Linked DNA regions of Nothobranchius furzeri. The protein of the gene in region 2 purifies or fractionates together with the protein of the main gene of each other region. This does not show direct contact. Links are inferred from orthologs where the notes say so. Each region holds a gene or a part of one and is shown on either strand. Other genes may lie near its edges.

Region 1 (4,370 bases), on a different chromosome or scaffold from region 2:
CTATCAACGTGTCCCTTTGACGGAGCTCCTCGATCTTCAGCTGCAGGGCAAACTGGAGGTCCCGAAGAGTTCCCATCACCTGTAGACAGACAGACAGACAGACAGACAGACAGACAGACAGACAGACAGATAGATAGATGATAGATAGATAGATAGATAGATAGATAGATAGATAGATAGATAGATAGATAGATAGATAGATAGATAGATAGATAGATAGATAGATAGATAGATAGATAGATAGATAGATAGATAGATAGATAGATAGATAGATGATATATAGATAGATAGATAGATAGATAGATAGATAGATAGATAGATAGATAGATAGATAGATGATATATAGATAGATAGATAGATAGATAGATAGATAGATAGATAGATAGATAGATAGATAGATAGATAGATAGATAGATAGATAGATAGATAGATAGATAGATAGATAGATGATAGATAGATAGATAGATAGATAGATAGATAGATAGATAGATAGATAGATAGATAGATAGATAGATAGATAGATAACAAATGAAATGTGTTTTGCATGCTCCAGTAAGACTATAATAGTGTTTCAGACACTCATCACTTACCACGTGCAGTCTGGGTATCGATCAGTACCTCTTCCTCACTCCCGTGAGTGCGTGCTTATTTGACTCCGTCCATCCGACAGGTGTGTACATCTCTCCTGCAAGTGCCCGAGTGAAAGATGCTTCTCCTGCTGGCCGGGACTGAGCAGGCAGCGTAGACAGGCAGTCACGTGACCAACATCTCGGAGACCATCCATACGGGAGGGGAGAGGTAATGACAAATGCGTGGACTGGATCCGAATTGGGTCAGACGGTCCTCGGAGTCCATCGGAACCAATGGGGAGCGTCAAACTGAGAATAGCCTTTCCCCCCAGCTAAAACAAATCAAAGGTTATCTGTGTGCACTCTGATAGCTCCTTCTTCTGTCCAATGAGGCGTTTGTGCTCCATTTCAATAGGTCCGTTTTACGTTAATCTGTGATTTATTTTATATGTTTTATTTGGCAACACATTGCAATTCAATGTAATTGCTACTCAGCGTTGTTTTGTGTCAAATTCATTTTTGCTCGAATATGGAAGTGTGAGTTCGTGAGGAAACATAATAAAAATAAGAACAAAGGCGATATATTTAAAACAAGCAAACTTGAAGCTGTTTCACAAAAGTCTAATCGGGGTATTTGGGGGTATTTCGGCTGTGAAATTAAAAGCCTGTTTTATTTTCTCGGGCGGACAGAATAGGCTTGATGTTAGACGACTACTGCAGGTGAAATATGCTGATTTTCACAAGTGTGTTTGAATCAATTGTGATTTTTTAAACATAATTTTCTACGTTTGAAATGCAGATTTCTGTTGTTTTCCAGTTTTGTTTGAAGGGCTGAGATATTCCTGCCAGACGGTGGCGCTGTTGTCAGTTGAGAGCAAGCAGTAGCTGCAGAAGAAACAGAGGAGAGTCGCAGAAGAAGAAAAAAGAAGAAGACGTTCCACTGAGAAGAGAACAATCTGTTTGCTCGTTACCAACCACTAAAGTAACGTTATTTGGGTACATTTTAAATCATTTAAAGTTTGAACCTCTTCGCGTGTGTTTGGTTTGATATTTTTGCGGCTCTCATAATGATTATCACGGTGAAGCCGCTTTCAGGACTGGAATGTAACATTCAGGTGAGTTAACGCATCATGATGCTAACTGCCGGTGTAGCCAGCACACCGATGGTTATTTATCATATTAGTTTGCAAGTAAAGGGAGAACATATATGCTTCTTTAGTCAGGAAATTAGACAAAACACACCATTCTATGTAGGTTATGTGGGGTTAAACCGGTTAAACATAAACATCTGAGACGAGTTTAAACGTTATCTCTACCGAAGCTGTCCTGCTAGTTAACACTAATGTCACAGGAGGCCTTAAAAATGCACGTTTTTATGCTTTATTGGTTGTATTTATTAAAGTGGAAGGTTGTGCGTGACTGTATGACTTGGACAAATGTTAGCTTGGAGTATGGTTGCTATGGTGATCGTAACAGGGAAATCACCCAGAACTTTAGTTTTTAAACCAAAGCATTCCGTTTTTAATTCGTAAACGTGCAGATTCCATTCAATTTCAACATTTGGAAATTAGATGTGTTTACTCATTTGTAAACACTTCGATCTTTTAAAGCACCGTCGCGTGACAATCAAAAGGTTGTATTTTAATAGCTGAGGTAAACTAAATTCCCAAATCATTGTGGCGTCTACCTTTGTCTTTAAGATGTGAAGAGTCTGATCTTGCGTAACTCAATCCCGTGTTACTACACACAGAAATAATTGATACGCTTTTAATTTCTTGTTTATAATGATTTTACAGATTTAAGTAGGTCTGGGGTTTGAGCCAACAGCGCACCACAGCCGAGACATTTTCTAATTTATGTAAATTAGGACAACGAAATCACGGTGAGCAAATTCAAAAGTTGTCATTTACATTTCTCACAAGCCTGATTTAAACTTTGCCCTTCAGAATAACATATTCATTGAAATTCGTTTCATTTTTGAGTCGGCAGCTTAAAGAATCTCATTATTCTTCCCTCTGGCTGAATCCAGTCTCATTAATGTTTGCTAGCGACTCGAGAAACCTGTCTATAATACCCTTCTCTGTTTCCTAAATAAACAGAAAATGTCATTACCAACAGTGAGTTTATTTAAAAAATGATACATGAAGTTGATGCAAAGTTAATTGCCTAAACTTTGTTACTGCGTCACTTTCGTCTCAGTTGCTTGTGCTTCTTTTACTTCCTCTCAGTGCTTCCTGTCCTTATATCCAAACTCACACAAAGAACCAGTCTTCTGTCTCTGCTTTTAACCATTTTCTGGTGTGAAAATGCAGCAAAAATTATAACAGGCTAGTAATTATTCTACATTATTTAATCCTGTACAAAAAACACAACTGTGGTGCAGTAATGAGTATAAGTTTGTATATTTAGCTGGATTAAAACACCACAAATAAATAATGCTTTTGCTTAAAGAGCAAATTGCAGGTTAGAGACTCAAATAAACCAATGTTTAGAGAAACATAATAGCAACTCGTTTTAAACTTTTTTTTACACATTCATAAATTATTTAGGCTTTTAGAGTCATTTTTGTGAGAGAGTTTTTTTTTTATTTCTTTGCCAAACCAAGTCAGCCGACGGGGTCCTGTTAGCTTAATCTAGAGAAAAATGTAGATCCTAATGTCGGCTCTGACACAGAGGAAACTTTAAATGTTTGTAATTATACTTATGATGGACCAAAAAAAAAAACAGCTGGCCCGCTGAGCCGCCTGTCTCTTCTGGTGGTCGGTTCTGACCTGGTTCTGACGGTGATCTGAGTTCCAGAAATCTGAATGTACTTTTTTAAACCCTGCCACGGGTCTCCAGAGCCCAGCGCAGACCTCCCTGTCTCTGTACCAACCGATTTGGGCTACAGAAGTCCCGTCTTTTCAGCTGCACAAAACGCCCTCAGGCATGTGAGATAGAGGCGTAGTTTCTCTTATCTGGAAACCCGTGGACTCGATGTCCAGAAAGGCTGGAGTTGGTACAGCCTTCACAAACTATAGTTTATCAACATGAACACAATCCAAAACTAGTAAACACACACGCTGACTGGATAACATGACCGCTCTACCCTAAAACTACCCACTCTCCACACAGAGCTGAGGCAGCGCCTAGCTTCTAACTCCCTTTGGTTACATCAGAGGTTCAGATTTAGAAAAAAAGAGCCTTTTTAGAAGCTTTGCTGAGAGAGGCCACTTTTTACTAGAAAACTGCTGTTTTTAAACCAAATATCCACAATAAGCATTTCAAAGAGTATGTTTGGACAGCATTTTATATGAATTAGAAAAAAATATGTTACCTGCAACTTGCTTTTTAAAGAGTTAGTCACCCCCTACAAGAAATTCACGTTACTCCCACTTCATCTTTGAAAAATGCAACAAATGCTGTTGCCTGGCAGACCGAGAGAGCGGAGCCGCTAACAAATAAACACAAACAGGCTCACAAAAGCATTGTGACATCAAAATGTACTAGCTAACGTCATTGCATACCTCTTAGCCAATAGCAGTGGCAGGTTTAAATTTAAATGTAGTGAAGAGGTTTTACCGGACGACGGCACAACACTGACAGTTTTAGTCAGAATATTTAAAGTCCAGGGGCCACGCACAACGGGGTTGGAAAACTGCGCAAGCAATTTTCCACGCAAACTTTGGAATTCATGAAAGAAAACTTTGCGGAAAATTGTGCGCAACTTTAAGTTGACTAAGGACCTGGCTTACGCACATTTTGGACATGGAGAGCACCTGCAGTGCTGCTGCTGAGAAGGATAACATTATGAAATTCTGC
Region 2 (4,243 bases):
GTCTTGACAGGTTCTTCTGCCAGGCGTTCCCAGCAGACCCTCACTATGCGTTTGGGTCTGCCAGGTCTACGCTGCATGTTCCCTTGCCATCTGATCCAACTCACCACCAGGTGGTGATCAGTTGACAGCTCCGCCCCTCTCTTCACTCGGGTGTCCAAAACATACGGCCGCAGGTCAGATGATACGACTACAAAATCTATCATCGACCTGCGACCTAGGCTGCCCTGGTACCAAGTGTACCGGTGGGCATCCTTATGTTCGAACATGGTGTTCGTTATGGCCAAACTGCGGCTTGCACAGAAGTCCAATAACAAAACACCGCTCGAGTTCAGATTAGGTGGGCCGTTCCTCCCAATCACACCCCTCCAGGTCAAGCTGTCATTGCCCACGTGAGCATTGAAGTCCCTCAGCAGGACAATGGAGTCCCCTGATGGAGCACTATCTAGCACTCGTCCCAGGGACTCCAAAAAGGGTGGGTACTCTGAACTGAAATTTGGCCCATAAGCACAAACAACAGTCAGGACCCGTTCCCCGACCCGAAGGCGCAAGGAAGCTACCCTCTTGTCCCCCGGGGTAAACCCCAACACACAGGCAGAGAGTCTCGGGGCTAACAAAAAGCCAACCCCAGCCCTCCGCCTCTCACCCGGAGCAACTCCAGCAAAGTAGAGTGTCCAACCCCTCTCCAGGTCTCGGGTTCCAGAGCCAATGCAATGTGTCGAAGTGAGTCCGACTATATCTAGCCGGTACCGCTCAACCTCTGCCACAAGCTCCGGCTCCTTCCCCGCCAGCGAGGTGACGTTCCATGTCCCAAAAACTAGTTTTCTTGTCCGGGGATTGGACCGCCAAGGCTCCCGCCTTGGTCTGCCACCCGATTCGCATTGCACCGGACCCTTCATGTTCCTCCTGCGGGTGGTGGGTCCACAGTTGGACGAGCCCATGTATCCGGTTCGGGCTGGGCCCGGCCGGGCCCCATGGGCGAAAGCCCGGCCACCAGGCGCTCGCTCACGGGCCCCAACCCCAGGCCTGACTCCAGGGTGGGACCCCGGTAACCCTCCGGGCCGGGTACTCCGACTCTTCGTTTTAACCGCCATGAAAGATCCTTCGAACCGTTCTTTGTCTCACCCTTCACCTAAGACCAATTTGTCATGGGAGACCCTACCAGGGGCACTAAGTGCCCCAGACAACATAGCTCCTAGGATCATTAGGGCACTCAAACTCCTCCACCACGATAAGGTGACGGTTCAAGGAGGTGTTCATGTGGTGTAAAGATAAAGAAGATGCAAGACCGCATTAAACATCAGTAAAAGGAACGCTCGTGTCTCTCGTGTATGTGAACAAGCCGGCACAAAGGGGTTAATTTTTACAAAATGACTAAAATGCTTCTTACACTATCCACTTTTTTTCTCCATAAAATAAATTAACAGTAGCTAACATGGACAGACTGAATCAGCTGTTGAAATGCGCGTTGGTAAGAAAATTCGACGAGGAAGCACATAGTCATAACACCGGAATCGTTTTCCAAATCTGAGAGATGACCTCTAATAATTTATCTACAGCTGATTGTTTACAGTATCAACACTTTCTCCTTGATCTTTCCTCCTTCTTCCATTTTTAATGTCACAAAATGCTGCCGTCTATCAGAAAAGCCTTCAGAAATCCAGGAGAAGTGTTGATTATGTCTTTAAACAAAGGATGGATAAAAGACGGAGAACCTTATGCAGAAGGCTGTACACTTGGCCTATCAACGTATATCTGGTTCATATCGAACAAATAAAGTTGATAAAAGTTTAGAAAGTGACTTAAAACCTTCACAAGTTTTCCAAAACAACTGAACGAAACGAACATGTTCATAAGGCTTTTCAAACACGGGCACGTGTGATGAATTGTATTCCCTTGGGTCCATCACTGATTTACTCTCGAGTGTTTGGGCTGAAGCAACATCTGCAGATAGTCCAACAGGTTCCATCGTGATTCTTGTTCAAACAGCTGAAAACAAGTAGCTAAAACCTGATGAATGCATGTGTCATCTTGCTAACTTTAGCTGCTGACTGGGCTAGAAAGCGTTCAGTTGTCGACAATCATCGAACGATGATACTTTACTTGACACACAACATGAAGACTTTAGTTTAAAATCGGTACAATGTTAAGAAAAAGGCCTGCCCCTTTATTTTACTGAAACTGACACATGTCAAATTCTGAGTTGACACCTAGCTAGCTGCGTTAGCTAGCTCAGGTCGATGTGAGCACTTCCTGTACTTTACCTGCAGGTGGTTTTACCGACACCACCTTTCCCACCAACAAAGATCCATTTCAGTGACTTCTGTTCGATGATATTCTTCAGAGTTGGCTCTAAAGGCTCCACGTCGGGCGCATCTTCGAATTCGTCTTCCATCGCAGAAGCGGCAGCCATCTTGCTTGTACACAGACAAGACCGGTGCGTTCAAGGCTCCTCGGAATTCCGAACAGTCCAGCGGGTGTTTATGCGTTAGTTGTGAGTAGCTCTTGAGATGCTACTGGCTATTTTTATTCATTTAATTACCTTTAATGTTATTTTAGACTTTGTAAACTGAGTATCATACACGTGTGATCAAAAGAAAAGCGTTAAAGCACACAAACTAAAAAGACAACATCCTGAAAAAATTGTAGTTTACAAGTTCTGCCTCTGGATGAATCGTCACGTGACGTGGGGTGCGTTTGTTGACAGGGTACTTTTGCCAATGAAACACCATCATGGTGGTCTTCCATCAGACCACCAGTGAAATCTATAAAATATGAATCTGTTGGATGACATAATAGACTTCTTCATAGTTAGTTTGTACAAAGAATATTCTTTTGCCCCTTTTAACAGTCTTACTCTTTTATACTTTTTAATTTTTTGTTGTCATGAAGCGATTTGCGATTATTGAGAGGTGCTATGTAAAAAATGTTTTTTCTTCTTTCTACCTCCTAAAAGTCATGATTGTTAAAAAGATAAATTTATGTGCACACACAACAAAGAAGTGGTGCCAAATTTAAGGCAACATTTTTTTTAGTTTTACTGTTGTTGCGGAAGTGTTTTATCATCTTATTATTGTTTAAGTGATAAATGAGGTAATGTTGTTGGGTTTATAGCAACAGAGGTTGTAACTGGATTTTAAAATGTGCAATAATTTGTTAAGAAAACACTTTTGGTGTTTTAAGCAACATTTGTGTATCATTATCTTGATAATTGGTACAATACCAAACCAGAAACACGAGGAGAAAGGAAACTTAATGTAGTGTTTTTTATCTAAAAATAAATCTTAATTCTTAAAAACTTTTACTTTATTTGTTTGATTGAAATAATTTTTTTATATATTTTTATTTTATTCCGTTATTTTTAATAGTTTTATTTGAAAACGTTTCTTTGTTGCATTATACATATATTCTCCTCCTTTATATTCTACATAAAGCTGCCTTTTATTAGATAAACCTGTTTTAACCCATTACAACTTTTTTTCTTAGTTCTAGTTGATACAAAACATGTTCATGAAGTTTTCTATACAAAATTCCTCACAGCAGCATTATTCTTAACCGTTTTAATACCTTCCAGAATGAGCCGTTTCAAGGATCTGTCACTTTAAGAAAACAAGCTGGAGCTGGCCACACCCACTCGTCACCTGATATGCTGCTGTAAGCTGAGAGGCTCAGAGTAGAGCTGCTTTTTCTCCAGCCTAGAGAGGCAAGGGAGGGTCCCGCCAGTTTGTGATGTCACAAACAGGGACTTTTTGAAATGGCTGTTAAAGGCTATTCATTTTTAAAATCAAACACTGACAGACAGAATATGCATGGACGTTAACATTTGGAGTGTTTATAGAGGCAGCAAAGACTGTCATGGCAGCACTTTAGGGTTCTACAACCCCCCAAGGCACTTCACAACACTGTAGTGATCTATAGTTTGTATATTTATACACTGTAATTAGAGCTAAATATTATAATCAGAAGTGGTTGTTTTTATCATCAGGGAGTTTACTTAAACACTCTGTATTGACTGAGAGACAAGAAAAGAGAGAGTTGGGATCGTTTAAGAATCTTTAATTTTTATAATTATAAATTCTTACAATCTACCAGGACTATCTCAATGATGAATGCATACGTATTTGAATGTTATAGTGTTGGTGTGTGTGTGTGTGGTTCAGAATCTCTAGGCTGACGTAGCGAATCTGGTTGTTATGACTAGGCTACCACGAGGCTTCAGAAGCTGATGACATGAGCCGCCATTTTG
Region 3 (3,650 bases), on a different chromosome or scaffold from region 2:
CTATTGGGGAGCAGCTCTGTCCCGCAGCGCTCCTCCGTGAGAGCGGGGGTTGCACATGTTCCACTGCTGTTTCTCACCAGTATCAGCTGATGGAGGGCTCTAGTTTTGTTGCGCCATTCGTGTCAGCGGACACGGTAGGGTCTGGGAGGGGGGCGGGGCATGACGCTTAGCCTGGCGGGCCGCCAGACTTATAAAGCACTGGGGGAAACCCTGCACATCATCGTCGGAACAAAGAACCTGTAAATGTTGGGGGGAAATTAGACTCGAATTGGGCGGGTTCAAATGGCGATGGAGCAAGGCAGGAACGACTGGTTTGGTCTGAACTCTGAACTTCTCTCTATTGGATGGATCATCCACCAACCACATCAATACTGTACCGGTCCATGTACCAGTTCGAGTTAATTTACAGAGTACAACTTACAAAGCATTCAGTCCCACTAGAGACCACTGCAAATGTATCGATTAAACAAGTGAACCGCACCTTTAAAACAAAGAGTTGAAGAGGTATTCAAGCTAATCTGAAGTGTATGATTAATATTGAGTTCACATTTTTCTGATCCTGCACATCACAGATAAGACTCGTGAGCAGCCTTTCTTCTTAGAAAATGTAACATCTTTGATGACTGATAAGTAGGGTTGGGCATCAAGCATCGATTGGAACCGGGACCGACTTTAAAAGTTTTTTTTTTTATTTTGATTCCTAGCATGCCGACCAGAAGAGGAATTTGCAGCCGATCTCCGTGAAAAATAAACCTGATCTGCAAATTGTGATCAAAACCTTTCAGAGCTGATCACACCAGCTGTCTGTGTGCAGCACCGAGCCCCCCTGACTTTAATGTTTAAAATCGGTTAGATTGTTACTGACAAGCAGCTTCATTTAGGTTTCAGTTTCTGTTCTGACTGAATGCTGCTGCAGCATGGAGGTGTAGTTGTCAGTCATCCTGGACATGATCATCCTGAGAGTTTTAGCTGAAAACAGCTGGACGTTTCTGGATATGTTGGAGACATTTAGCCTCTCATCCCAGAGGCTTCTTCCAGACTTTGGTTGTGGTCAGAAACAAACACACTGGTTGTGCTGCAAGTCTTTTTCTTTTTATCTCCAAAACATGTTTTTGTCTAAATGAAGGTGATGTTAGTGTTCATAGAATTAAAATTCATGTTGAAGTTAAGATTATTTCATTCAAGTAGAACCTGTGGTTGGCTAGCTCGTTTAAAACATGTAATGTCTTAAAAGAATCGGAATCAGGAATCAATAGGAACAGGAATCGAAACGAGGAATCGGAATCGTTCAAAATCAAACGATGCCCAACCCTACGATAAGCAAAAAGCCAACTCAGAGTGGACAAGTGTGTTGCAGCCAACTTCAAATCCCAAACTTTAACCTCTCCATCATTTTTGGTTTCATATCCTGTGGTTGTTTGCATGGATTTCGGCAATTATTTACAAATGTAAACATCTCCAGGTGAATGTAGCGCTTCCAGGCCATCCTGGACTCGAGTCCCGCAGGAAGTTCTAAATAGTCTGATTCAAACTAAAAAGTCACATTTTATGAACTAAACTGCTGAAAAATCCAGATCAGAGTTGCTTACTTGGACTAGCCGTTAGCTTATCAGTCCTCAAAGTGTTAAACTTTTTCTGTGACCAAAGGCCAGTCAGAAACAGGTAAGGCAGGATTTATTTAGAACTTTTATAAAGTAACAAGAATCTTGGATCCAGTTAGAGTGGGGACTCTTTACCTGGCTGTCCGGGCATTTGTGGAGTACCTGCAGCTGAGTTTCCACTTGGGCCTGCAAATAACAGAAATAAACAGAAAAACTAGTATCAAGTGCTTTGGAAAAGCTCTACACAAGTGCAAGTCATTTATAATTACAACCCAAACAATCTATGCAGTTTTTCTAACAATGTGCCTTTCCAACATCAGAGTCATGGCTGGTTTAACAAACATGGGAGAAAACTTCTCATTAGTCTGGTTAGATCCACGCTTCGTCTTTCAGCAACTCTTATGGATGAAGTCCTCTGAGACACAAACACAGGACTCAATCAGTGGCGGGGAGGGGACAACACACCGTCCGTGTTCATCTGCATCATGACCACCGGGACTGCCTGGTGGCTGATCCTGATGACCCGGGGGCCAGCCTGTCCCTGTCCAGCCTGCTGATTGGACGGGGTAGTCTGTGAGGGGGAGGTCTGTCCCTGACCTGCCTGCTCCGACTGGCTGGCTGGCTGGGTGGGCGGAGTTTGTCCCTCAGTGCTGTTACCTGCAACAGTCACTGTGGCACCCAAGTTCATCTGTGGGTGACAGAAGCTCATTCAGTGTGGCGCAACCAGAGACACAACACCAATCAGCTGAACACCCCAACACCTCGTACTTGCACTGGGATGTGATGGTGCACGGCTCCAGGGAGGGTGACGGGGCTGGTGTAGTGAGAAAATGGCCGCATCACATGAAGGTGACGAGGGACTGGAGTCATGAGGTTCAGCCGCAGGTCACTCAGGGCAACCAGGGCGTTGCCAAGGAGACGAAAACACTCACAAATCTGGAAGAGTGTTCTTTGGTCTTCCTCTCTTTCCTGTGTGAAAAAAAAAAATCTGCTTTTAGTTCATGTTAGATGTTTAAAACCCTTTAGAACAAGAACCAAAAGCGATTTCACCTCAGGATAAGTAAAACAGAGCTAACCACATTCATAACAAAAACTACATATGCATCTAAGGTTGCATTATTTCGTCTTTTAAAACAAAGCTAAAATCACCAACAAGCTGGTTGACTAATTATTAAAGGTAGATGTTCAAGATTCAAGATGATTTTTGTTGTCATTGCACACGTCAACGACACTGACTTTGTGCTCATTAACTCATTCCCTGCCAGCCGTTTCCTGATTGCCAGCGGTTTTCGCCGTCACAGAACGTTACGCGCTACGATGATGTCAACGCCAAAACTACCACAACAAAGAGTAAACTCACCTCTTACATCAAGAAGAATCCACAAGTTTCCAGCGTTATCCGTTCTTTCATAATCCGTTGTCGAATTGTGATCGGCAGAAGCTTTTCCGGTTCGCGCCTCACTTATTTTACAGCAACGGTCCAAAACGATCTCCTAACACATGGGTTTTCTGCTTACTGATCACGTGACGTGTAACGTACGTGGATGAAGATCGACTTTAGAGCTGGGATGTTTGTTCACGCGGTGCGGGGGCTCGTTCGGACGCCCACACAGTAAAAAAATGCAAACGACGAATTTAGTCGTCAATGGCAGTGAATGAGTTAAAGACAGCTCATGTAAGGAGGTAGTAAAATATAAGCTACATAAAATAACAAGGCTAAAATAGAAGTCATGCCCACACAATCACACACACACACTGAGCCAGTTTAAGGAGCAAAATAATTTGAAGTATGTGCTGCTGATTCAGAAGTGTACGGATCTAAAAGCAGCTCTTCTGGTCATTCAGATGTATTTATGGTGGCGGGAGAGTTTGGACCCTACCGTGTTGTTGTTGTACTCTGCCGTGGTGGCCGTCTCCAGAATAGTGTGACCCCTCTGGATAAAAGGCTGCAGCCTCTCTTCAACTCGCCGCAGTTCAGACAGCATCTCTGCCAGTTCAGCTGGACTGGGATGACTGGAGGAGGACAAGAAAACAAACTGGTCAGAGTGA

Evidence for each region.
Region 1: the proteins of get3 (region 2) and ubl4a purify together in Homo sapiens (affinity purification with mass spectrometry; 4 studies listed by BioGRID and IntAct, with this or other methods). This does not show direct contact. The link is inferred for Nothobranchius furzeri from reciprocal best matches to the Homo sapiens genes GET3 and UBL4A.
Region 3: the proteins of get3 (region 2) and bag6 purify together in Homo sapiens (co-immunoprecipitation; 5 studies listed by BioGRID and IntAct, with this or other methods). This does not show direct contact. The link is inferred for Nothobranchius furzeri from reciprocal best matches to the Homo sapiens genes GET3 and BAG6.

What each region holds. Positions count from the first base shown.
Region 1 is NC_091757.1:40,380,082-40,384,451, reverse strand, and holds the start of ubl4a (ubiquitin-like protein 4A), read left to right. Parts: upstream 1-1,446; 5' UTR 1,447-1,636; coding exon 1,637-1,684; intron 1,685-4,370. Other genes in the region: prkg1l (cGMP-dependent protein kinase 1), read right to left, coding at 1-76. UniProt on the Homo sapiens protein: As part of a cytosolic protein quality control complex, the BAG6/BAT3 complex, maintains misfolded and hydrophobic patches-containing proteins in a soluble state and participates in their proper delivery to the endoplasmic reticulum or alternatively can promote their sorting to the proteasome where they undergo degradation.
Region 2 is NC_091746.1:25,391,982-25,396,224, forward strand, and holds the start of get3 (ATPase GET3), read right to left. Parts: upstream 2,837-4,243; 5' UTR 2,411-2,836; coding exon 2,262-2,410; intron 1-2,261.
Region 3 is NC_091745.1:60,794,838-60,798,487, reverse strand, and holds part of bag6 (large proline-rich protein BAG6), read right to left. Parts: intron 3,615-3,650; coding exon 3,482-3,614; intron 2,571-3,481; coding exon 2,370-2,570; intron 2,290-2,369; coding exon 2,067-2,289; intron 1,788-2,066; coding exon 1,737-1,787; intron 1-1,736. UniProt on the Homo sapiens protein: ATP-independent molecular chaperone preventing the aggregation of misfolded and hydrophobic patches-containing proteins.